4 linked regions of the Drosophila melanogaster genome follow. The protein of the gene in region 4 purifies or fractionates together with the protein of the main gene of each other region. This does not show direct contact. Each region holds a gene or a part of one and is shown on either strand. Other genes may lie near its edges.

What was found.
Region 1: the proteins of Hmgs (region 4) and igl purify together in Drosophila melanogaster (affinity purification with mass spectrometry, with the first as the bait; one large-scale study listed by BioGRID). This does not show direct contact.
Region 2: the proteins of Hmgs (region 4) and bocks purify together in Drosophila melanogaster (affinity purification with mass spectrometry, with the first as the bait; one large-scale study listed by BioGRID). This does not show direct contact.
Region 3: the proteins of Hmgs (region 4) and CG8654 purify together in Drosophila melanogaster (affinity purification with mass spectrometry, with the first as the bait; one large-scale study listed by BioGRID). This does not show direct contact.

The regions. Positions count from the first base shown.
Region 1 is NT_033778.4:15,153,892-15,158,445, reverse strand, and holds the start of igl (igloo), read right to left. Parts: upstream 3,010-4,554; 5' UTR 2,529-3,009; coding exon 2,231-2,528; intron 1-2,230.
Region 2 is NT_033777.3:9,588,958-9,592,611, forward strand, and holds bocks (bocksbeutel), read right to left. Parts: upstream 2,046-3,654; 5' UTR 1,973-2,045; coding exon 773-1,972; 3' UTR 511-772; downstream 1-510. Other genes in the region: P58IPK, read left to right, coding at 1-325. UniProt on the Drosophila melanogaster protein: Inner nuclear membrane protein. May have a role in maintaining the structural integrity of the nuclear lamina. During pupal development, plays essential and redundant functions with the other LEM domain proteins; MAN1 and Ote.
Region 3 is NT_033778.4:19,977,262-19,985,270, reverse strand, and holds CG8654 (uncharacterized protein), read right to left. Parts: upstream 6,030-8,009; 5' UTR 5,962-6,029; intron 4,732-5,961; exon of another isoform or gene 4,450-4,731; intron 4,395-4,449; exon of another isoform or gene 3,996-4,394; intron 3,162-3,995; exon of another isoform or gene 3,067-3,161; intron 2,974-3,066; 5' UTR 2,963-2,973; coding exon 2,568-2,962; intron 2,366-2,567; coding exon 2,222-2,365; intron 2,160-2,221; coding exon 1,190-2,159; 3' UTR 376-1,189; downstream 1-375.
Region 4 is NT_033778.4:16,334,507-16,341,742, reverse strand, and holds Hmgs (HMG coenzyme A synthase), read right to left. Parts: upstream 5,654-7,236; 5' UTR 4,880-5,653; intron 3,442-4,879; exon of another isoform or gene 3,307-3,441; intron 2,629-3,306; exon of another isoform or gene 2,546-2,628; intron 2,304-2,545; exon of another isoform or gene 2,297-2,303; 5' UTR 2,264-2,296; coding exon 866-2,263; 3' UTR 501-865; downstream 1-500. Other genes in the region: CG7997 (uncharacterized protein), read left to right, coding at 1-262, 322-353.

The sequences.
Region 1 (4,554 bases), 1.2 Mb from region 4:
TATACTTTGCATGAGTTGACATCTTTATTGCCAATTTATGTCCTTCCTGGCCCATTCGCAATTCGCAGGTAATTTCGCTTTGGGCGTGTCCAAACGGGGAAAAGGGAAGTGAAATATAAAACGAAATTGACCTCGTCATCGCCATATCTTAATTATTTGACAGACCGCAGAAAATTTACCCAGTTTCTACTTAAGCATTTACGGATTTACGTTTTTAATTTCGTTTCACTCGCAAGCGGAATCAATTTGAAATACAGCCTACGTGTTTGTTTAACAAAATATTTTGGGTGGCGGCATAAATGGCGTAACCGAGCGGCAGTTTTATGGTTGATTTGGGTTTTCACTTCTTTTCGTTAGTTTATTTGTATGTTTTATTACGCTTTTCTTTTACGCTGCTGCAGAGGAAAATCAAAAAAGTTCGAGGAGCGGCCTAAACTTTATAGTAAGGAACTTTATGGCAAGTAAAAAAGAAAAGGCAGCTGGCGAATATTTATGAACCACTACAGCCCAAATGAAATTGAATATTGAATAGCCTTACCGTGAATATAAGAACTGATTTAATTTTCTTGCTACGCACAAACTTTCAAGGATTATCCAGAATATTTCAGCGATTCCAAGAAGCCCCAATTAGCTGAGTTAATTTCAAGGCAAATGTTACGAGGAAAACCAAGTGAGCAGCACACATAAACCAGCAAATTAAAAGCTGTTGGCAGCGGGAAAATTGCTAAGCAATAATAATAATTTGTGGCATTAACAGGGAGCGAAATTTTCTGGCTAACTTTTCCCGTGCAGTCAGCCATTGATAAAGTGTCGCTATACAATTTATCAGCACTCCCTTTGGGAAACTGGGAAATGAAAATTGGGAGGGGAGCGGGAAAACGTGCGGAAAACGGCGGCAAAACAAACAGTTTCTGCCACTACTACTGCTGCACCTGCCACAAGGGAAAGCTGGCTGTGGTAATTTATGAGTCAGTCTCTGGAAACGCTGTGCACCTCGATGGTTTTTCATATTTTCATTATATCAAAAAGGAGCAAATAAACCGCACAAAGTTCCTCCTTTTTTTGGGGTTTGCAAATGGTATTAGCCCCGAACTTTGCATCCAAATTTGGGCTGAGTAAAAAGTTATTGTGGTGAAAATTTAAATGAATAACTAAGTAAATTGAAAATAATTGGATATGTATGTATTTTCAGGAGGCAAGTATATAAAATTTCCAGTGAATTATGGCAGAAGTTTTAAATAATTCGAGTTATTTTTCCAACTAAAATTTAATTTCGTACAATAGAAGAATAACAAATGAGGCCATAACTTTACGTGTACATTTATAAATAGAATTAATTATACATTTTTGTATTGTAAGCAAATATTATAGAAAAGTAGACAATTTTTGATATGTCGTTAAAGGTTTTTTGCTTTCAAGCAAAGTAAACGTTATTATCACTTTACTGCGAATCATATGTCGTAAACTAAATTGTGCCCCCAAAAGCAAGCTATGGAATTTGTGTTATCCTGCGGCCCATATCGCTGGCCATAAAAGTGACTTCTGACTACGCTTATTAGATACCATAAACAGGAGCATAACCTACGTTAATGCGCATTGGGGAAAAAAAATGCCCAAGGCGACTGTGGGACAACGAGGCGGCTACTTAACAAAGTTAAGGACCTAACACAAATTTGCCATCGGGCGCATAAAAGCGCTTGCGGATGTAGTGGCGTGTAATGGAGTGCAGTGTATACATCCAAATGCAAACATCCCTTTATATATAAATTTATATATACATATATGTGTATACACTTAAACAATTCATATTTGCGACACCATTAAGCAGCGGGCCGCGGGGAGCCCGGAAAACTGGGGGAAAATGGAAAAGTGGCAAAGAAAAAAGGCAAATGCGATAACGCCGTGCTCCCAGCGTGTTGATACAGTAAATAATACTCGAACCCCTGGACACAGGATTTTCATTCATCCGCACACACACAGGACACCGAAAAAAAGTCCTATAAACTAAAAAAAATTTAGTGTCTATTCTTCGCTTCTTTAAATATTTGTACAATTTCGGTTTTTTACTATAGCTGTAAAGATTTTTCTTAATTCAGAAAGTAAGGAAAATCACCACACTTTGATGTGATGAACATTTTCTCCAAGTGCACCCACACACACGCACGCACACCGAATGTTGAACAGTCGTTAATATGAATGTATTGGATATCGGAGATTGAACGGGCCTTACCTTCGTCCTCGTCGTCATTGAACTCCGTGATTGCCGCCTTGTCGCAGGGACGATCAATGCCATTTGTTGCTTCCGACTTGCCACTCCCCCCGCCAACTGCGCCGCCCCCGTTGGCCGCCTTCGCCTCGCCGTTGGAGATAATTGAACTGGATTTGGCGTGATTCGTATGATTGCTAGCGGATGACTTGGATGACTCGCCCTCCAAGGGAGGAGCACTGGGCTCCGGTTCGCCGTTGCTGACCGCATCCATGGCTGCGCCATCCTTCGTCTTTAGCTCCTGGCTGGTGTTGCAGCCCATCTTATTGGATCGAGGATTTGGCAATTTAGTCCGCGGCTTTTGATGGAGTCTCTACGCTTCCAGTTGGCCTAGGTTACCCTTGTGTTGTTTAATCAATTGCACACACACACACTATAGTACACACACACACATCCGAACTGGAAACTAGTTTATAAACGATACTTGTTGTTTCTGGGCCAATTTGCACTTTGACTTTCGCGAGCTGAAACCTTTTTCGCATTAAATGTTTACAAAAATACGTTGTGCCTCGGTAATTTTTTTTGTTCAAAAAACTTTGGTGTTTACAAAAGTCATTAGAAAAAGGTGCACAACCACAATTTACTAGCCAAAGAACTCGCACGGAACCGGAAGCGGAAACCAGCTGGATGGCAGACTCGCAGCGAAACTGACTGTCTCTGGCACAAGCTCAGGCACAACTGACTTTGACACTGAACGGCGCCGGCGACGCGTCCTCACTGCGGATGCCACGGACCCCGAATGCCCGATATCCCCACATCCTGCAGGAGCTGGAGTTTCGAGCTCAACAAGCAGCGACGCGCCAGCCGGCAGGCAACGACACACAAAGCCCAGGGAAACAGAGAGCCAGGACCTCGAGGAGAGATAGGAATAGGAAGCGAGAGAATTCTCTCTCCCGCTCTCTCGCAGGACTCACAGTGGGCAAAAATATATGGTTTATACATGTATGTGTAGAACTTAATTGTCTCAAAATTTCAAAGAAATTAAATAAAATAAAAATAAATGGTTAAACAAAAGCCACTTTTCCTCTGATTTTTTTTGGCAATAATCACAAAATCAGGATATGATATTTAAGTTTATGTTGGGATCTACAAATCAATGAATTAATTCAATTTCAATAAGCTTCTTATAAATGAACAATATTACAACGATGTATTAAGTGGCAAATAAATGACTTTTTTGTCTAAATATTTATTCTAAATAATTTTTCCTTCATGTATACTACTGTTTAGCAAGGGACTAAAAAAGAGACCCGAGAAGAGAGTGGCTCTATCCAGGCGGCAACGGCAGCAGCTGCCTCTGTTGTTGTTAGCCAGCGCTGGCTGCAAACTTTTTCGCAAATAAACAAACCGACTGCCGAATCCGACTCACAGATACGCACGCACACAGCCATGCTAGGAATGTGGCTTAGAGGCGCCGCAGAAACCGTTGTGGTGGCAACACAACCAGAATCCAAAGAGCGGCAAAGGCAGCCAAGGCAATGGCATCATCATCGAGAAAGGAATGGCCACACTCACACCAGCGCAGGCCAAAGGACTCTCTCACACACACACACACATACATACACATTGCGTGTAACCAGGCACAAACAGCTGAATGAAGAAAGCCCAGCCAAAATGAATGCAAATAAAAAGAATATATATTCAAGCAGAAAACCTGGCCCATAAAAATATCAATGAGCACCGGCCGCTCCCTTGAGTATATATAGCAATTCATAAAAGCAACTAGCTTTTGCATCTCGTACAGCTCAGCTGTCATCTGGCTTCCTTTTTGTCTTGGCATTAATATTTGGGAGTTGGCTCTTTGGCTTATGTATGAGTGAAGACGCTGCGATGGTGTGCGTGAGACAAATGAATTGGTTTAGCTTTTATTGTGTCTGCGATTCCTTTGTAGTTCCCTGTATTGCTTAGTTATTGTATCCCAAAATCTCCCACTTAATTTGCAATGCTTTAGAACTTTTGAATTTAAAAAGTATGGAATTTATGAATAAATTATAAATTCTAGAATTAAAGTGTATAATTGGGATGGCAATAAAGTTTTGTGTATACCACCTTTTATCTTAGAGATAGTACCATAACAATCAAGCTGAAGTGCGCATAGTCTAGTTGAAGTGCAAGCCACGAATACTCGTAAAGTGGGCGATATGCAGGCCTTGGGCCAATTTTAATCAAAACTTCCCTTGCTTACCCACAAAATGAATCCCGCATATGTATGTACATATGTTATTATATTACAGATGTCTGAGCATATGCAAATTAGCTTCACATTGCAAACGTGGCATAAGTGCGCA
Region 2 (3,654 bases), on a different chromosome or scaffold from region 4:
GTCAGAGCGCAGGGATTACTATAAGATATTAGGCGTTAAGCGTAGCGCCAGCAAACAGGAGATTGTGAAGGCCTACAGGAAGGCGGCGCAAAAGTGGCATCCGGACAACTTCCGCGACGAGGAAAAGAAGGTGGCCGAGAAAAAGTTTATTGACATTGCCGCAGCCAAGGAGGTTCTCACGGATCCCGAGAAGCGTCGTCAATTCGACAACGGCGAGGATCCATTAGATCCTGAGAGCAATCAGCGTGGCGGCTTCCATGGCGAACATCCGTTTGGACACTTCCAACACGGGTCGCCGTTCCAGTTCAAGTTCCACTTCAATTAGTCAGCCAGCAGCCATTTGCTTTGTGATGTCCTAGCCGCGATCCCCGATATCCTTTAACGATTTTACACTGTTTTGTTCATTTAAATGGCGTGTAAATAGTAGCATAAAGCATAAATAAACCCATGGTCCGTTGTCAGAGAGTACCACAAACAAACACAAATCGCAACAAAACACACTGAGCACTTACATTTAATTAGTTTATTTAATACAATACAATAATTATAATGTAGTACATTTTTCTAATTATGTATAAAAAGAAACAATATGCGAGAACAAGCAATTAAAGACTTGGCAAATTGAGTTGAATATTTGTTAGTTTTGAACATGTTTGGAATTGAAGTAGTAGTCTTAAGGTGCAAAGTCGTCATAAATATTCCTTCGCTGTAGTCTGTGGTTGAAATGCGTGGAGTAACCAAAACCAAATGTATTCCGCGATATGAACGCTTCTCAGGCGTTGGGTGTCAATACCACGTACACCATGGTGGCCAGCATCACTGACACTACCAATATTAAGTAGAATTTGAGATTATATTTTTGATCCAATGACACCGCCAGTGCACGGAACTGCGCCATAGGCGAAACCTGATCGTGGTGTCTTACCAGAGGTTTTCTAGCCAGCGGCGAGAAGCGATTCTTTTGGAAATGGCTATTGATGGGTACTTCCTCGACTTCGGACTCGCTCTCCGTCTCCATGGGTTCGCCTGCGTCATTCGGCTGATCGTAGAATTCATTTAGTTGTGGATATAGAGTGTTTACTGCGGTGGTCGGCTGGAGCAGGCGACCACGGGCCAGATTGGATCCACTAACTGGAACACTCTGTCGCTGGCGAATGGGTGCTGGAGCTGGTGCTGGGCCACCAAAAGGCCTAGCGGATCCGCTGAAAGTGTTTCTTGGCGAAATGGGTGAAAGTTTTGGATTGTACGTAGATGACTCCTCGTAGCTGGTTGAGTTTAAGTTGGTTTGAGTCAGCAGGGGACGCGAAAAACCCAAATCTGTGGGTCTGTATGTCGAAGGTTCGATGCGTGGCTCGTATGTGGGAAGTGCGTGAAGAGTGGCGGCTGGCACATGGGGTCTTTCGTAGGTGTAGCTGCGTGGTATATCCTCCTGTTCGTACAGCGGCTGGTCAACTTCGCGTGTGTAAGATGTGGTCAAAACTCCGGATTTGGCTAGAGAAACATAACGTCTAGGCTGCTGGTCCTTGGAGTAATTAGGCACCGGAGAGTCCACCATGTAGGAGTCGTCGTCCTCCGACTGGGAGCTCATATCCGACACCGTGGTAGTAGTCTGCACAGATCTTCCCGAGATCGAGGTGTTGTCTAGTCCATAGGCGATTGTGCGACGACTTTGTTCGCTGATCTTGTTGTTGTTGCTGCTAGTGCGTCCTGCACTCTTGCCGGGCGTACGACGCACTGGCTCCGATGTGGGCGTCGTTACCTGGCTGCCGTGTACGGTCTCACGCCTCGGAATCGCTTTCTTACTTGCAGATTTGCTTTTGTTCAGCGGAACCCCGGTGATTTTGGCCTTTAGTCGGCGAATTATGACGCTGCGGGTGCTGTCCGTCACGGGAACACCGGGCAGGCCGTGCTCCAGGCACTTGGCCAGCAGCTCCTTGTTGCCCAACGTGTCCAGGTAAGAAAGGTCCGACATTATTTTCCGCCGTGGTGAAACTCAAAACACACAAAAATAGCAATGTCGTCACAATGTTGTCTATTAGTGATGGAACGGCAGCGATAGAATGTTCAATCTAAGTGCACGCCTATCGATTGCTGCTAAAGTAATGTTGTTTGACAAACTATAGCTAGATTTCATATGCTGGATGAGCTGTGCACGAAAGTAAAAACAATTTTTTAACATCAGACAGAAGAACAAACTACTTGAAGAAAAACTTAACTCGATATTTTATGTGCAATCGCCTCATGTGCAGTGTTATAAAATGCCTACAACTAAACATTTACAGCAGTGCTGCCAGACCTGGTTGGATACGCTTGCTATGGTTTATTTCAACTAACGCCCGACGGTCACACAGTTAGTTTTATGAAAATCGAACGCGCAACAGGTGTTCAATCGCAAACAAGACGCTCGAATTAAACGAATCGCCGCGCGGAAAGCGCTCGCCAAGCCAAAGAAAATCCCCAAGTCGCAGTGCGGAAAACTGAGGAGATATAGCATCGTAACATAAACAGTGGATTGTGGAAAAACAATCGTGAATCATTTGCACCTGTTTGGCGGCCAATATTTCTTCACCTTTTTGCTTTTCTGCGCCTGCGTGTGTGCCTCACTTCGCTTATTACACTTTTGTTTACCTCAATCGCGGGTGTTATTAAAGTTTTTGGCATCGATTTCGAGTAGCAAAGCAAGTGGCTGGAAACATTCGACAATTTGCTGGCTGCAATTGCAGCATATTTTCCATTTAGCCAAGCAAGAGCAAGGGAAACAAAAACAGCAACAACAGCAGCAGTAGAAGCAGCAGCATAAACATAAACCAAAAAACCGGTTAAAGCGGACAAGAGCGAGAAAGGCGCCCCAAAAAAGAGCAAGCGGGACAAAAACAAACACATAAAACGTGAAAAACAACAACGAATCAAAGTAGATATAAATACTAAACGAAAAAAAAAATATCCTCGTATTTGGGTTTTTGTTTTTTTGTTAAGCGCAAACAGAAAATAAGTGCGTTTGTTCTTTGTTTAAACGTGTTGACATCGTGTTTTCCCTGTAAAATTCCTTATCGGCCGATCGAATCGAAAGTGAACGAGTAATTGCCTTTCTGGTATTTGGTTTATTACATTTCGATATTGCTATTGCCCAAACTCAAACTCTGCGCGTGGCCTCCTTCTTATCGGCAGTCCAGTTCACCAGTCTACTCCACCAGAAGAACTACCTGTTGCCGCAACAATTAACACCAGGTGAGCAATAAAACCAACCCTTTTTACACTTCTGCAGCTTAGAATGCCCAATAGGACCGACCACCGGGTATTCTTTAAATATTGTTTACGTTGCACTTATAACGAATTCCAAGGAATGTACTCACAAAGAGCATTTGAACAATTGTATTCATGAAGATATATTTACTCATAATTAAGAATTCATCTAAAAAGAAGCATCGGGGGTTGCAAGGAAGAAATGGGGTTTCAAACTAAATGTTAATATCAGTGATTTAGGCACATACATATTTGGTGCTATTTTTGGAGTGGCTTGTACATGTGAATTTGCTGATTTCAAGTAGCTCCAAATGTTATTTATTGTTACCAATATAATTTGTGTTGGGCATTTCATTCTATTCAGTCGGTCATTGCCTATATTTGGTATTGCTTGATAGCCAAGTCACGTGA
Region 3 (8,009 bases), 3.6 Mb from region 4:
TTGCTAGATGCACGGAAACAAATTTCGTACAGAAAATATTAAAGAAATCAAAATAGGTGTTCGAAACATCAACTCTTCAAGTTTTTAAAATAAAATCATTTTAAATAAAGTCAAATTATCCTACATCAATGATTTCTTTAATGTTCAAATTTGACTAGCATTTAACTTTTTATAATCAACTATTTTTTTTTTTTCTAATATAACCAAGTACATTTTCACCTATTTTTTCTTCGTGGAAAAGGGATGTTGAATGAGGAGCGAGGATCCGAGCCAAGAGCCGCATACAAATGAGGCGTACCCAATGTTGACAATGAATATTAACCTTGAGTGGTGCCCCAGCCGGTTTTTGCCTGGCCAAGGTCATCTCATCCCATCGCGATGCCAGAGGATGTGGATGCGGAGATGGTGTGATGAGATGGTTGCCGATAATTGCCATGGGCATCGACTGGAGTCGACCTAATGGAAACGCGGTGAATGTCATTCGCGTTGATGTGTGTAATCGATTCTGCAGAGTTGTTTTATTAAATGAAATGCTAAAATGCAATTTATTCGATTCAAAATTACATTGCATGGCTCTTAAACTATTAACGTAACAACCGAATAAATGTTTCATACGACCTTGATGGTACAGATTTCTCGGGACTTATAGCGACAGCTGATACAAATATCTCAGATTGAAAGCCTCGTGTTTGCCCACAGAAACTTTATGAGATGCACTTCGATCCGGAGAAACAGTTTCCACTTCTACTTGAATTCTACTATATAATTTCATTGGTCTTAGCTGCTATCGATTGGGTTCACATGCGAAGTTTGCATTCACAGTCACTTGGCTGGTTTTCCAGTTAGCTATTTGGCTGCTTTGCACCTCGACATTAAGGCAGTTGGAGAACAGCTACGATTGAGACTGGATTCAGACTGCTAACCCAGTTTTAATAATCACGAAGTGGAAGTTACTCCGCGGTAATTACCTTTTGCATTCGCTAGATTTTTCAATTTTTTTTTGCTTTTCGCCTTTTGTTTGCGGCACGAACGGCAGTTTAGCTTTTCGGTGACTGACATATCGCATCGTATAAATCTCAACTTAAGTCGAAATTTAATAATTTTAGAGCCCAGGCATTAGGAGTTTTGCTGGGCTCGAAAATTTTAAATTCTCGCCTTGCTACACCGATGCAACACTGGGAGAAAAGCCCTATGCCTGGTCCTTCTTTTTACGCCCGAATGTCTCTCCGTCCTCCAGGGTTTCCGGCAGTGGAGTTCCACGTGTCTCCGGCAAGAAAATTGTGCCGAGCATTGCCAGAATGGAGAAAATTCCAAAGATCAGGGGCGCCACCCACAGACCGTATGCAGCCAGATCGACGATGAGCGGAGCAACAATGGAACCTATTCGACCGACCATCGAGCAGAGACCAACCCCACTGGAACGCACAACCGTGGGAAAGAGCTCTCCGCCGTACAAGTAGACATTCGGAAAGGTGATTGATGCGCCAAAAAGTCCAATTGTGGCGCAGGTCACACGCACAGCCTCTGCCTGAGTAGAAAGGCATGCCAATAGGATTAAGCCCAAAGCACTGCATCCATTGGAAAGAAGCAGGGTCTTCTTGCGTCCGAGGTACTTGGTCATGAGCGCACAGAGGCATGTGCCTGGAATGCCCACTCCGGCGGCGATTGCATTGCTGATGAAGATGTTGCCGCCCAGCGCGGAGACATACTGAGCGGTGCCGTAGTAGACCATGCAAACCACTAGCCAATTGTTTGCCATGAATATGGTCTTTATCCGCATATAGGGTGTCCGGAATAGATCCACGACGGTGCCTTTTTTGACCGGCTGGCGGGCTGCCAGTGCCCCATAGGCAGCTTCGATCTCCGGCCGAATCGTTTCCGTCGGAGCCTTATTACACTTGGCGATCTTCTCCAGAATCTTTATGGACTTGTCCAGCTTGCCGGTGGTAAAGAGCCAGCGTGGCGACTCGGGAACCAGCCAAATGTAGATCACGAACACGATAGAGAAAATGGTGATGCTGAACTGGAACCAGCGCCATTCTCGAATAAAGTAGGCAAACAGGGCCAGGGAGGCGTGGCCGATGTTAAAGGGGATTTGGTAGAGAATGGCTACCATTTCGCGCTTTTTGGGTCCCACGATTTCCATCAGCAAGACGAAACTGCGGATGGGATTAGTCATTTATATTACTGGGAATATCCTTGGTAGTGCCTTTACACCCACCTGGTGGTCATCGTTCCCGCCGTGGCCACAGCCACCAGGAACCTAAAGAGGCAATAGAACCAGTAGTAGGGGGATACGCAGACGATGAGGCCAGTGATCAGCTGCATGAAGCAGCACGTCAGGAAGGCAGGGCGTCGTCCATACCTGGGAATTGAAAAATTCTATAGTAGGCGGACTAACTCAAAAACAGAAAAATTGTTTTAAAACTAATAAATAGGTGTTCGCTAATGGTCCACCAGTTAATCTAGTGGTTTAACTAGTAAGCCAGCAAAGGCTCTATTTTACCGACTTGCTTTCAGGTTTCTTTTAGCATAAGAAAACTTATTAATAATCTTGAGATACTCACCGATCAGCGAACATGCCAAACAGAATACTCCCGAACAAAATGCCCAGCATGACGATACTTTGGGACAAGCTAGCCAGCTGTTTGCTTTCGCAGGTGAGATTCCACTCGGTTATGATGGTGGATTGGAAGACGCTAGTGTCGAACTCGGTCTCGGAGCATTCGTCACTGCAGGGATCCGTGACGTTCTCTGTCTTGCAGGATAACGGCGTTGGTGCTGCGAGGAATATGTGGCCGAGGGTGTGCCATCCCGTGCCAAATTTGCACAGTAGAACGATGAAGAAAAAGAATAACTGGTAGCGCCGGAAGTCGCCGATCTGCGAAATTATCGGATCACCTGTCTTGGTGACGGGTTTCAGTGGCTTTGGAGCCTTTGGATCCTGCGGTCGATCGGCCATGTTGCTGAAAACTAATGATTTTTGGCTGTCAGTCAAAAAAAAAGTGTATATTTTGAGTGTTTGTAAAATATTCTAAATTTGTTTTTTTCAGTGCAGTGGCCTACCAAGCCGACTGGTTTCTTAGTGGGTGGACTTTCTCAAATATTTGCCGGCCTCAGAGCAAATTGGACATATCGACCGGTGCGGCTCAGTGCAGACTGGCGTGAAATATGGAACCCGGGCAGATGGAGATTTCGTTTGCGACCGGCCACCAGAGAACCGGTTTTCGCGGAGAGAGAGCTCCAGTCTGTGGCAGCGTGACAAGTTGGAGCTCAAAGACATAGCAATCGGCGGGGCTGGGGGCATTAGCACTTGGCCGCTTGGATCCACCGCCAAAATGGCATTTGAAAATAGAAATAGGAGTACGGCCTCCATGCGCCGCTGCAGTTTGTCAGCCCAAAAGGCCAAGAGACTGGGGCTAAGACGCTAAACTTTTACTCTTTAAGTAGGTAAATGAAGTTGGCTGCCTGGTTAATTGAAGGAAGGTGCGCCCGGGGACCCGGCCCGATGATGCTGGGATCTAGCTGGCAGATTAAGCCATTGTCTGCCCGCAGATAACCGAACGAGCCCCAGTTACCCATTAAGATGGCTTAATTAAGGAAGCACTGCCTCAGTGAAAGTTGAACCGGAGAGAGAGACGAAGGTCTGAGATTTCTGGTCGGAGATTCCGCCACAAGTTCCCACGGCAACGACAACCTGTCTGGCGAAGGCATTTGGCGCAATCGTCAGTGGCTGGCAAAATGTCACAACAATTGCAAATAAATTATATATGCAAATTGGCTGGCCAATGAATGACAAAACGCAGCGTTATAATACGATCGCCACATGCTAAATCTGGCAAGACACAAAGCGCTCACTTGGGAACTAAACAAATGCCCAATGTTTAAAGCAATGCCATTGTCTGCATTCATGGCATTTGAATGTTGTCCTGCTCATTTCAATTGCGATTAACATATTTTACCTCATTTATATATGTGAGGCAAAAAGCACTTACCTAAAGAGCCGATTTAAATGGCAATCAAAACAAAAACAGTTATAAGTAGGTCGAAACCAATTCTATTTATATTAAGTAATCGGAACTTTTCGGGGGCTTGTCTACCGCCCGAGTTATATAACTCAGCAAGTTGATTGATAATACTCTGTTCGCAATCTCGCACTTTTTGAACTACGTCTGGTGGGCTTCGACGCTCTACTATCAATGGCAGAAAAATCTCATCTTGTCTCGCCGGATGAGAAAAGCAACTGAGATGGCGATAAAGTCGTGTGTACTTTAATCCCAGATGATAAGAGGCGTTCGACAAGCGTCGCGAATATGACAAATAATGCCAAATGCCCTGAACTTCTGGCCAACTTGTGCGAGATAACACGTATATATTGTTTACCTGCAGAAAGCCTTTGGGCAAATGTTAATCATATAATCAGTTGAGCACACATTCAGCTTAGCCTACCTTATAGCTCCTGTATTCCAAAATAGATGATGTTTTGTATAAATTAATAGAGATGTCTCGCCGTGAATCCGATAGCTGATCACAATGAAATCCAAACATAATCACGCAGTGTTCATCAGTTTAGCACGCGTTTATCAAACTCCAAAATGTTTGGTTTACCCATGATATTGAAAGTCCAAATATCAATAAAGCGAGTCGCATTGTTGACTTATTTGGCAAGACGATAATTGAGTATAATTTTAGTAATATTTTTAGTTCCTAAACGTTTCCTGTAGATACAAACTTTTGATTTGTGCAAATCAACTTATTAATATGTTAAGGTAATAAATTATCCTAAAAAGACACATTTTAATTACACGTGACTAATTTTTAAAAGATGTATTGATGTTAAGAGCTACCAGTTCAGTAATGTATTAATATAGTATATATTAACGATGTGTTGTATATTTTGTATGAGTCACATGCTATTTTGAAGTTGAGAATTCCACCAAATATTTACTATACCCTTTATTAATATTATTTATTTATTTATTTAAATCTGAAACTAAAATTTCAAGGCCCAGCCGATATACTGTGTATTTGCGAAACTAAATCCATTTAAATGGCCCCGTTTAATATTTACATTTGGTGGGCTGACAAGTGTTCTAAGCCGATTTCAGTGCCCCGAATGGGCCGGCAAGCGGACTGTTTGGGCCAGATATTTTCCAGGGGATATATATATGGCCCGGCAACGCTCCAATTAGCACACAAAAGGATTACAGGGGAAATGCCAAATTTCTGGCGCTGCACAGAGAAGCACTTGGCAAGGCCAACAAATGTTTTGGGCCGGCTTTGGAGCGCTTTGCGGTTTTTCTTCCATAATTGCCGAACGGGCTAGGTCCGAACAGGCCAGGTCCGAGCTGAACTGAACTGAAGTGGACAGTGGTCGAGTGGACGAGGATTGCGAGGAATCCACTTGAGGTCCAGCGAGCAAATCAAGCGGCAGGCATTTAATTTCAAACTGCCCCCTCATCCGAACACACCATGGTGCAATCAAAATATTTTATAGGTTGGCCATAAAGAAATTCATAAAGCGAACGGCAGCAGCAGAATCAGCAGCAACTGCAACTCTGCCAATTCATACGAAAATTGCTAACTCAGCGCTCACATATATCATTTTTATGCGCGGCCACGCCCCTTTCAGCTCGTAGTAAATTGACAAATGCAGCGCGCCAAGTCTGTGAGATGTCTTTGCCACTATTTAAGGTCTTTCACGAGGGGATCGAGGTGGAGTTGGAGGTGGAGCTGGATGCTGCATGGCAATGAAAAAGCGCACCGAAAACTATGAGCAACGCTTAGCGAAATAAAAGTGCTTGTAATATGTAGTTAAAATCCAAGTAAGGCGATTAATGCGAGAGCATGGCGACTGGGAGATGCTCTCCAATGATTATCTCAGAAACGAAATAGATAAATATTTAGTGAATTTTAAGACTTCTAATAACAAGGTAGAGAAATTTCAAGCGGAAAACTTACCTGTGCCAAGACTAGCTCCTTTCTGGATCAGCACTTCACACCTGCCAAGTGTTCGCTTCCAACTGCGAAAAATCAATATACTCACCTTACTTTATAAATGGAAAAATTGCCAAACCACCCTTGAAGCAGAAACACACCTTAACCTGCCTGTTTACTTATCGAGCATCTGCCTGTCTGTCTCACTGCAATTAGCTACCTGAGTGAAGGGAAAATGCATCAAAGTGTTTGAAAGTAATGAAAGTACGTGTTTCATTCATTAGAATTATAAAAGTATGCCACACCATATGATTAATAATATGGATACTCGTACACTTTTTGTATCGTACACTATTATATCATCTTCTTTACTTTATTAGCTTAGATTGCTGAAATGCCCAGTCTGAGATTGCAGGGTATGCGTTGTGAGAAGAAGCAGCTAGAAACAAAGAGCCGCATCAACGGTTTTGGCTCTGGTTGCCTTGGCTTTTTACCCCGTCCGTCCTCTGTAATCGCCCCTTAGTTCTTCTCTAAATCCTCTTTGATTAAGTGCTCAGTCTTTTATGTGGAGATTTTTTAATCGTTACCTCGTCCTCCCAGCAACGAGGAGGACCGCAGTCCGCAGTCTGTTGTCCGAAGGGCGTCCATGTGACCATGCCCCGTAGATTAATCGCTAATCTGTCCCTAGAGGGCGTACTGACATTTTTAAAAACTGCGCACTGTCCAGCAGAGCCAAGGAAGCTGCCTCATGGCTGTCCACTTCATCCCGGGCCATTTGAAGATGTCTTTGGTTTTTATTGTCGGACGGCACTTGGGCACTTCCATCATTCCCATTCCCATTCCCGTTCTCGTTTTCTTTCGAGGATCCGTAGGACTCGCATTCGGACCACGATTCGCACCTCTTATTCAGTGCCTTTTCAGCCGCCCTTTTTGGCTTTATAAATAAATTAATAAATTTTAGCCAGCATTAATTATTGTGCTGCTTGGTCGGGTGCGCAGATTAATGTTTTAATTTCGCTAGCCTAGGCTTCGATTAATTTATGCGCGCCCTGTTTGCAATTTGTGCGCCATTTTTTGAGTAATTTCGCCTGGCCGGGGGCGATAAAGTGCATTAACATGGAATGCGGCTGCCGCTGCGGGCAGCTAAAATTGTTAATTTCGAAGCATCATAAAACGCGGCGATATGTTGCAGTTTCGTTGCCGGGCCCCTTTCAATTTACACTGGACGAACTAGCCGGTCGTCCTAATGTGTGTCACATAAATCAGCGGACGGCTCATCCAATGCGGCTGCCCATTTCGGTGGTTTCGGGGCTAGGGATTAATCCCAGAAGCTGGTGGGGTTGATGATGAGCGGTCTGCCAACACTTCACAGATTGATGAGTGACCTGATCATTAGTTGTTGGCCGACTAGGTCGTTGCTGCTTAATCGGTTGAATACTTCGTTAAGACCAGATTAAATTCAGGTTTTTATCGCACTTAAGTCATTTATACACTAATCACTTTCAGGAAAAGTATTAGGTTACCCATTAAACAATTTTTAGTTAATGAGCTTTATACCTATGAAGAACCATTTATCCAGCTTACTAAATATGGAAGTAGAAACAGTATGACTACTAGTTCAGGGTTCATAGAAACTTTTGGTTTTTCAAGGTACATATGTAGGTATCGGTTCTAATGAATTTGATGGCCAGCAGCCTTGTCGGGCCTTGTGTTACCTGATTTACGCGTGACGGGCACGCAAATCGAGGCGTTTAATTTCCGCCGCCGACAGCAGTTCTCACCGCAGCCTGTCAGTCAGCTGGGCAGCTGTCATAATACCGCTCAGCGAACCACCACCCACGACCGCCGATGACCTCCGACCCAGGAGTACTGATTCTCGGGGCTGTGGCAACATCAACCTCTTGGATGGCAGTAGACCAAAAGGTAAATAAACCCCTTGCCAGGGCCGCAGCTTTATGCATAATTAGCTTTTGCCGAGCGAAACACTGGCTCCGTGCGAATGTTGCAAAGTTTTAATTTATGCCTAGGTTGGCGGGAGGAATCGGTTATAGTTTGCCGTTCAGTTTGCTTTA
Region 4 (7,236 bases):
GGGCGCCGTGTTTTGTCCCGCAACCAAATCGAAGTCTGGAAGCGTCCCATTACGCCAGTAACCAAGAGTGGACATCACTCCTATGCTGTCGCCTTTGTCAGTCGCCGAGATGATGGCGCTCCCTACAGGATCCCCTTCACGGTCAAGGAGCTCGGATTGACGAATCCCAAGGGTTATAATGTGCAGGATCTGTACGATGCCAGCAGCAAGTTGGGCGTCTTCCAGTCTGAGAGTCAGTTCATCACACGCGTCAATCCCAATGGTAAAATCCGTTGCAAAACACTAACTAGCCCTGACTTACTTCATTTTCCCCTCCCCCAGGCGTAACTTTCTACAAGTTTACAGCGTTGTAAGCCCAAGATATGCAAATCAGCCGCTGCCATCAAATCGAATATGCTCTTATATACACACTATTTCCACATTGTCCATTGACGTTGCATCGATGATCTGTGTAATAAGTTAATTCCGACAATAAATACCAGGTAATCACTGAAGAGTTTGACTTTGTTGATTTTTATTGTTTATTAAACAATTGATTGTGTGCATTACACACAGGTATAAGTATTGTACAATTATAGGCATAGATTGCAGTACCGACGCTAGTTAAGACTTGTTCCATGATATAAATAAGGTCTGACTGGATGAAAGAGTTAATTCGCAAGCTTGTATAAATAAGAAGTGTAGTACTATATACGCGACAAGGACCCGAATAAGAGCAAAAAGGATAGCGACCCCTCGGGATCATACCAGTTATAAATAGATACCATCTACAGCTACTGCTTACATGGGTTTGGTCGAGAGAGTTAGAGTTATTGTCAAGTTGTAGGCGAAACCGAAACCAAACCGAAGGAACCATAGCCCGGGGTTAGTGCACCCCATTGCTGATGGTCGGTGTGCGCTCGTAGGTGCGTCTATGCAGCGCATCCACGTCCTTCAGGTAGTAGGTGCCGGGAAACAGTGCGGAGATGCTGCCCGTTGGCGTGTAGGGCGCCGCATGGTTGTTCTTCTCCCGCACCTCCATCAGCGCGGAGAACTGCTCGGGCGCAACCTTCTCCCGTGAATTCAGCAACGGCTGCACGTAGTCCAGCTGCGAGACGAACTTTTCGAAAGCAGCTGCATCCTGGGTCACGCTGATCGAGTACATGGAAGCAGCCAGTCCGGATCCGTAGGAGAACAAACCAATGCGCTTTCCCACCAGCTCCTGGGCTGGTCCGCTAATCAACAGAGACACCAAACCGGAGTACACCGAGGGTGTGTACATATTGCCCACTTGGTTGGCCAGCAGCAGCGATTTCTTGGTCTTGCTGGCAAAGATGTTGGCGGACTGCGTCATGAAGGCCTTCTCCACATCGCGATCAAAGTAGGTGCTCTCCAGGGTAGCGGTATTAAAACGTTCCAGGTCGGGAAACTGCTTCGTTCGCTCCTCCTCACTGCTCAGCAGGAAATCGTTGAAGCTCAGGCGACCCACAGATTTTTGCACCAACTTGCAGAACGGTGTGTGGAATAGGATAGCATCGAAGGTGCTCAGGCTGGCCGGCTGCTTGGAAGTATCCTTCTGCTGCTGGTCGAACTTCTTGCGATACAGCCTGTAGCAGGTGTCCAGAGCAGAAAGGTAGCACTGAATAGAGAGCTTTCCATCTACCGTTGGGTATTCGGAGCTGAGGTCCGGCTTGTAAAAGTCGTAGGCGTGCTCCATGTGCGTTGCGCGTAGTCCACGATCGAGGATAAGCGGCGCATTTGGACCCACCAGCATAGCCACAGCACCCGCACCACCAGTTGGGCGCGCTGCACCCTTGGCGTACACGGCGATATCAGCACAAACGGCCAAAGCCAGGCGGCCGTCCCAGCTAGAAGATTCCACCCAATTGACGGCATTGAAGAGCGCCGCCGTGCCGCCGTAACAGGCGTTCGTGGTGTCGATGCCCTCGATGTCCGTGTTCCCGCTCTCGGCGAACAGCTGCATCAGCACGGACTTCACCGACTTCGACTTGTCCACAATGGTCTCGGTGCCCACCTCCAGTCGTCCGATCTCCGAGTGCTTCACATGTTGCCGCTCCAGCAGGCGGCTCACAACCGTCAGGCAGAGAGAGTTGACATCCTCGCGGTCCGAGCAGAAGCCCATCTTGGCCTGGCCCAGGCCAATTGTGTACTTGCCCGCGGAGGCACCATCGAAGGTCTCCAGCTCCGTTTGGTCCACGTACTGGGAGGGGAAGAGAATCTCGATGGCGCGTATGCCAACGTTCTCGGGCCAGTGGGATGCCATGATTGTATCCGGTTATCTATTTAATCCTGAGCTCTGTAAGAGAGACAATTTGTATACTTTTAGTGGGAGCTTTGGCATGAGAGTAAATATTTAATTCAATATCTTTGTTATTAACAACTATAACAATCACTATTTGCGTTTCGAAATTGCTTCATGATGTTGGGAGCTAAGGCCTTGTTTAATTTAATTTAAGCAGAGTTCTCGATGTGGCCCGAATTCCACTGCCAATTGGCATTGGGAAACTTTCTCCCCGCGCAATCACGGCGTATTTATAATGCTTACAAATTGGACGAGGGCAGAGACAACCTGTTGCACGCTCGAGCTGCGTTGGACGTGTGTAAGCCAGTGACTTTGGCTGCGGCTGAAGAAGTCATCAAAGTCTGCCAGCCAGAGGCCCCCGTCTTGGGGGCCAACTGATTTCCCTGGCTGAGAAACTGAGCGTGTAGAGAGAGAGAGAGAGAGGGAGAGAGAGCCGCCGGAGCGGAGAAAGTTTCCCCCGCTCAGGCGAGCTCCACAAAAGAGAACACTAAACCGCTGTGAAGTAAGCCAAAACACACGCATCGCAATAAATGTAAGCCAACAAGACAAGCCCAAAGAGCCAAAGGGACAGGGGCGTGGATGCTGTGGCTACACGCAGAGAATTTATGATTACATTTATTTACAATAGATAATCATTTCTTTTAAACTTTTTTTGTCAGAGAACAAGCTACAAAAATGATTACTTTAACACAATAACTCTTTTTTCAAAACCGCTTCCCCTGAAACTTCTCTACATTTTCACACATTTTAATTTCAGTTAGGCGCAAATTATAATTAAATCAAAATGATGATCGAAATATTATGATTTCCTATCGAAATAGAATGGAATTTTGCTCGGTGGAGCATTGTGGGACAGGCTGGGAGCGTCTTCACCCATAAGTGGGTCATGCCCACCAAGCACTAAGCACCAACCACCACTCTCCCTCAATCACACGCGTCCATATTGTATAACCGATAAGAGGTGCGAGTGTGGCCCAAACCCGAAAAGCGGTTGACATATTTACCGTTACGTTTAGCACCTGCGACTACTGGCCTATTGACTATAGATTTTCACTTTTCGGCCCGGAACTTTGTGGATTTGTGAAAAAAGGCTGGGTAGCGCGAAGCTCACTCGATCGGATCTCTCCGCGGACTGACGGCACTGGAGGCGCTGCACTGGCATATGAATATGACCATGACGACGGAATTGGCAGTGGAGAAGCAGACACCTAGCCAACGAAGCCACCTAGCCACCGAGCAAACACAGAGGCGAGAATAGGCGCTGTAAGTCAATGCCAATTGCTGAAAGCGCTCGGCGAACAAATAGCGATCGTGCATAATTACGGGAAATATTTATCGCTTAGATACGGCCAGCGAGCACGAAACACAATCGTCGGGGACTAAGAAGCCGCCAGACTATATAGATATGCACATCGATAGTCGTGGCCTTTTGCGATGGGGTAAAGATCAAAGGCTGTCCATCGCTGATAAGGCCGAAACAAAGCGGCTTCCTTAAAAATGCCACCGAATAAGATGTGACACTCTGTCCATTTCAGTGACAAAAACTGGGAAGTGACTTCCAATAGCTTTTCTCCGATTAATTACTTAAGACGTGCCCTTAGGAATTATTAATAGAAAATTATTTATAATTTGAGTTCTACTAATTTTCCTACTGGTATAACTTAAATTGGATTATCATCTTTTCTGAACACTATCTTGAAACGTGATTTCAAATCACCTGAACACAATTGGTAATTGATAAAATATTCTACAGAAATCACTTAAAGTAAGATAATAACAAGACTACTTTAAGTAGTTGTGATATTACTTGAGTCGTACTTAAGTTAATTAATACAGTTTAGTTAAAGTAAGTAAAATTAACAAATAAGAGAATACTTTGTCCTATTGTGCAAAAGAGTATGAATCATTATCCAAAGTCATGAAACTCTAATTTCAAGCAATTTAAGTGATTTAAGTCATTAATTCCTCGAGTGCCTGCGTGGAATACAGCTCACCCGGTGTTCCTAAGCAGCCCGTGGATTTAAGAATGGAAATTGATGCGCTGTTTATGCGGAAAAGGAGTCATCGAAGGGAAGGGAACGGGGCACTGTTGTGGTTTTGTGGGCTTATTTTTAGCACTTCGGAATTGGGAAATATTTGAATAAACATTTCCTGGAACTGCTGCGCACTTGGCTAATTGATTGCTCTTGAGTCATTCTTTTCTTTTTCGGCTGCAGGAGGGTGCGGAGGTGGAGGAGGAGGAGGAGGAGGAGGTCAAAGGTCGGGATGTTCCCGATAGAAATACACGTGTATTTGAGAGCCGGGAGATAAGCATAGTTTAGGGGTCAGGATTATGAAACTGATCTATGAGGTGACACATATCACTGGATGTTGATAATTTTTAAATCTACACTATTACACACGGCTGGAAAAACACTGTGAAACAGCTTTTCCCAATTTACAATAACCAATTCTAATTGCACACATATTATGTTCCTCCGACTTCTGGTTACATCAGCGCCCAAACTGACCACCTGCCACGCCCACAGCCCTCATCCAGCGCAGCACGAACAGTACTCGCACTCGCAATCAACTTACTTGCTAATATTAATGGTCCAGGGCGGGCGATATGTTTTAAACTAAACTAATCTGGAATAAAATTAAGCAATGAAACTGCGGCACCTTAGCCGCAGGCAGTGTTGGAGAGCGCGCGGCGCTGGAACAGCTGCTGGCGGAGTCAGCTGTTTGGCTCGCTGGCTAAGCAACACTGGCGCCATCACGTGAATCTCGTGGGCATTGTGAACTGTCACTTTTTTCGCCAGCGCTTTTCTCACCACACAATTTCGTTCGCATTTGTGGGTGGCGGCGGTCGATTTGCGCTGATTTTTTGGCAAAGAAAAACGCACTTGCTGTTTTCAAATAGCACAAAAAGCACACCTGCTTCGTTTACAATCAACCATATTCGCTGAAAAGTAAGTGCCAACCGTAAGAAATAGTTAATTCGGCGGGTTTTCCACGTCGCCGTGAAAAGTGCAAAAGTTACCCCCCGCCGAAAAAAAAGACCGATTACTACATCGCAGTAGGTCTGCTGACCAGGAAAAGTGCGCAAATCTCTTGTAGATTATTGAAGATAGTGAGAAAATTAGTTTTTGCAATGTGGCTATGATTTTTTGTCGAAGCAGTGTGACCCTGAAAAAAAGAGTTCGCCAGTTTGTTGCGTTTCGTTCGACGGCAGATTGCCGCGAGGTCTGCGGATGTATCTGGAAATATCCAGCTGATGATCGTGTGGGCTGGGGGCGGGGAGTCGGGAAAATGTGCGAAAAGTGTTTTGGTTTTTGTGCTTAAATGAAAAACCCGTGAGCAGCGGAAAATTATCGATCGAAAAACTGTCATGTGACTGTCAACGAACAGCTGACATTGCGAGAGCAACTCACCACAGCGAGTGGTGAAAAGAGCGCAATAGGCGCTTTGAAAATTGAAAGAGAACACAAAATTCTCTTTCGCTCTTTGGGTAAACAAAAAAAGTTGGAAAATGTTGTTTAAAAATTGAAATACTTTTCGGTTATTTTGCCATAAGGCACGTATTTCGCTGATTAATAGATCGTGTTGTGCGAAAACAAGCAAATACACTTTGATGCGCTGCACGAGGATTAATAAATAATCGTATTGCGTGCAACAAGGACCTTGATGAAAACCAAGCACATATTATACATGATATATATACTCTACGAAACTGTAGGCAAAACTCAAACACGGCCAATAAGGCGGAAATTCAAATGGCCAAACAGCTGCTGGAATTCCAGCGCGTGCTTATCTGTATGTCTGTGTGCAAGGTCTCCCGAGCCACCCACTTTCACCAAGCCGGTGCCAGCCACCCACCCACATTCCACCCCCCGGCAAGCACATTATTATTAATTAATTTGGGCGCACACCCACTGCGGCGAGGATATCGTCAAAACTTTGTTTTCCTCCTTTGTTCCATTTTTTATTGTCTTTTGTTTTCGTCGCTGCAATTTCCTGTATTGGATTTGGACTACCCCAACTGGATGTGTATCTAGATTTGGATATGGGTATGGGCTTGGAATCGGGATATGGATTAGGACCTGGACCCCAGGCCCTCTCCATTAGCGCCAGCCGTTGGCCAGTCAGACTGTCTCCATTCGCCTGGCGACGCGTTGGCTGGAGCCCTCCGCTCATCGTCCCTCTGTCCTTTATCCTCGCATTTCCCTTGGACTCGGTCCAATCCACGTCATCAGTTCAACATGAACATGGCAGCATAACAGTCGGTAACTCCTGCTCGTCGTCCTCCCTATCTATCCATATATCTAACTATATCTCTATATGTGCTTCCCTTTTGGCCCGCAGCAACTTGACTTTCGTTGCTAAAAATAAACATACGTACGTAGTTGTGCACTGGAAACAAAACGTGCTAAGTTCTCTGTCATTGCTATTCTGCAAGTCACATTATGGAGTATATCAAGCATATGTTACAGCCTAAACATGAGTGGTTAATTATCATGAGCTACATTCCGCCATTAGATCATTACACACAGCCATTACTAAAATCTGAACTTTTATATCTAGATAAATTAGATAATAACATTCACATATCAATTTCGTATCATTTTACATGTCATGAATCATAATATGGAGATTCAGTTTGAAAAGCATGTGGACGTTTGATTCCGCTGAAAAGGATATATTGAAAAATATATATACTTATACAATAATGTTTATCTGCGATTTGAGCATATATGTAAATATATTTTTAATACATGTACCAAGTGATCTTGCAAAAATGAACTTCTAATTTGACTGATCACCTGGTTATGTCATTCTTAACCTTCATTTAGATGCCAAATTATATTTTATAGCCTCGGGTGATATTTTTTCTTTGCGTGTTTCCGTATCCCACTTACCACCATTCCTCGTTGTCTGTTGCCAGGATTGTTGCT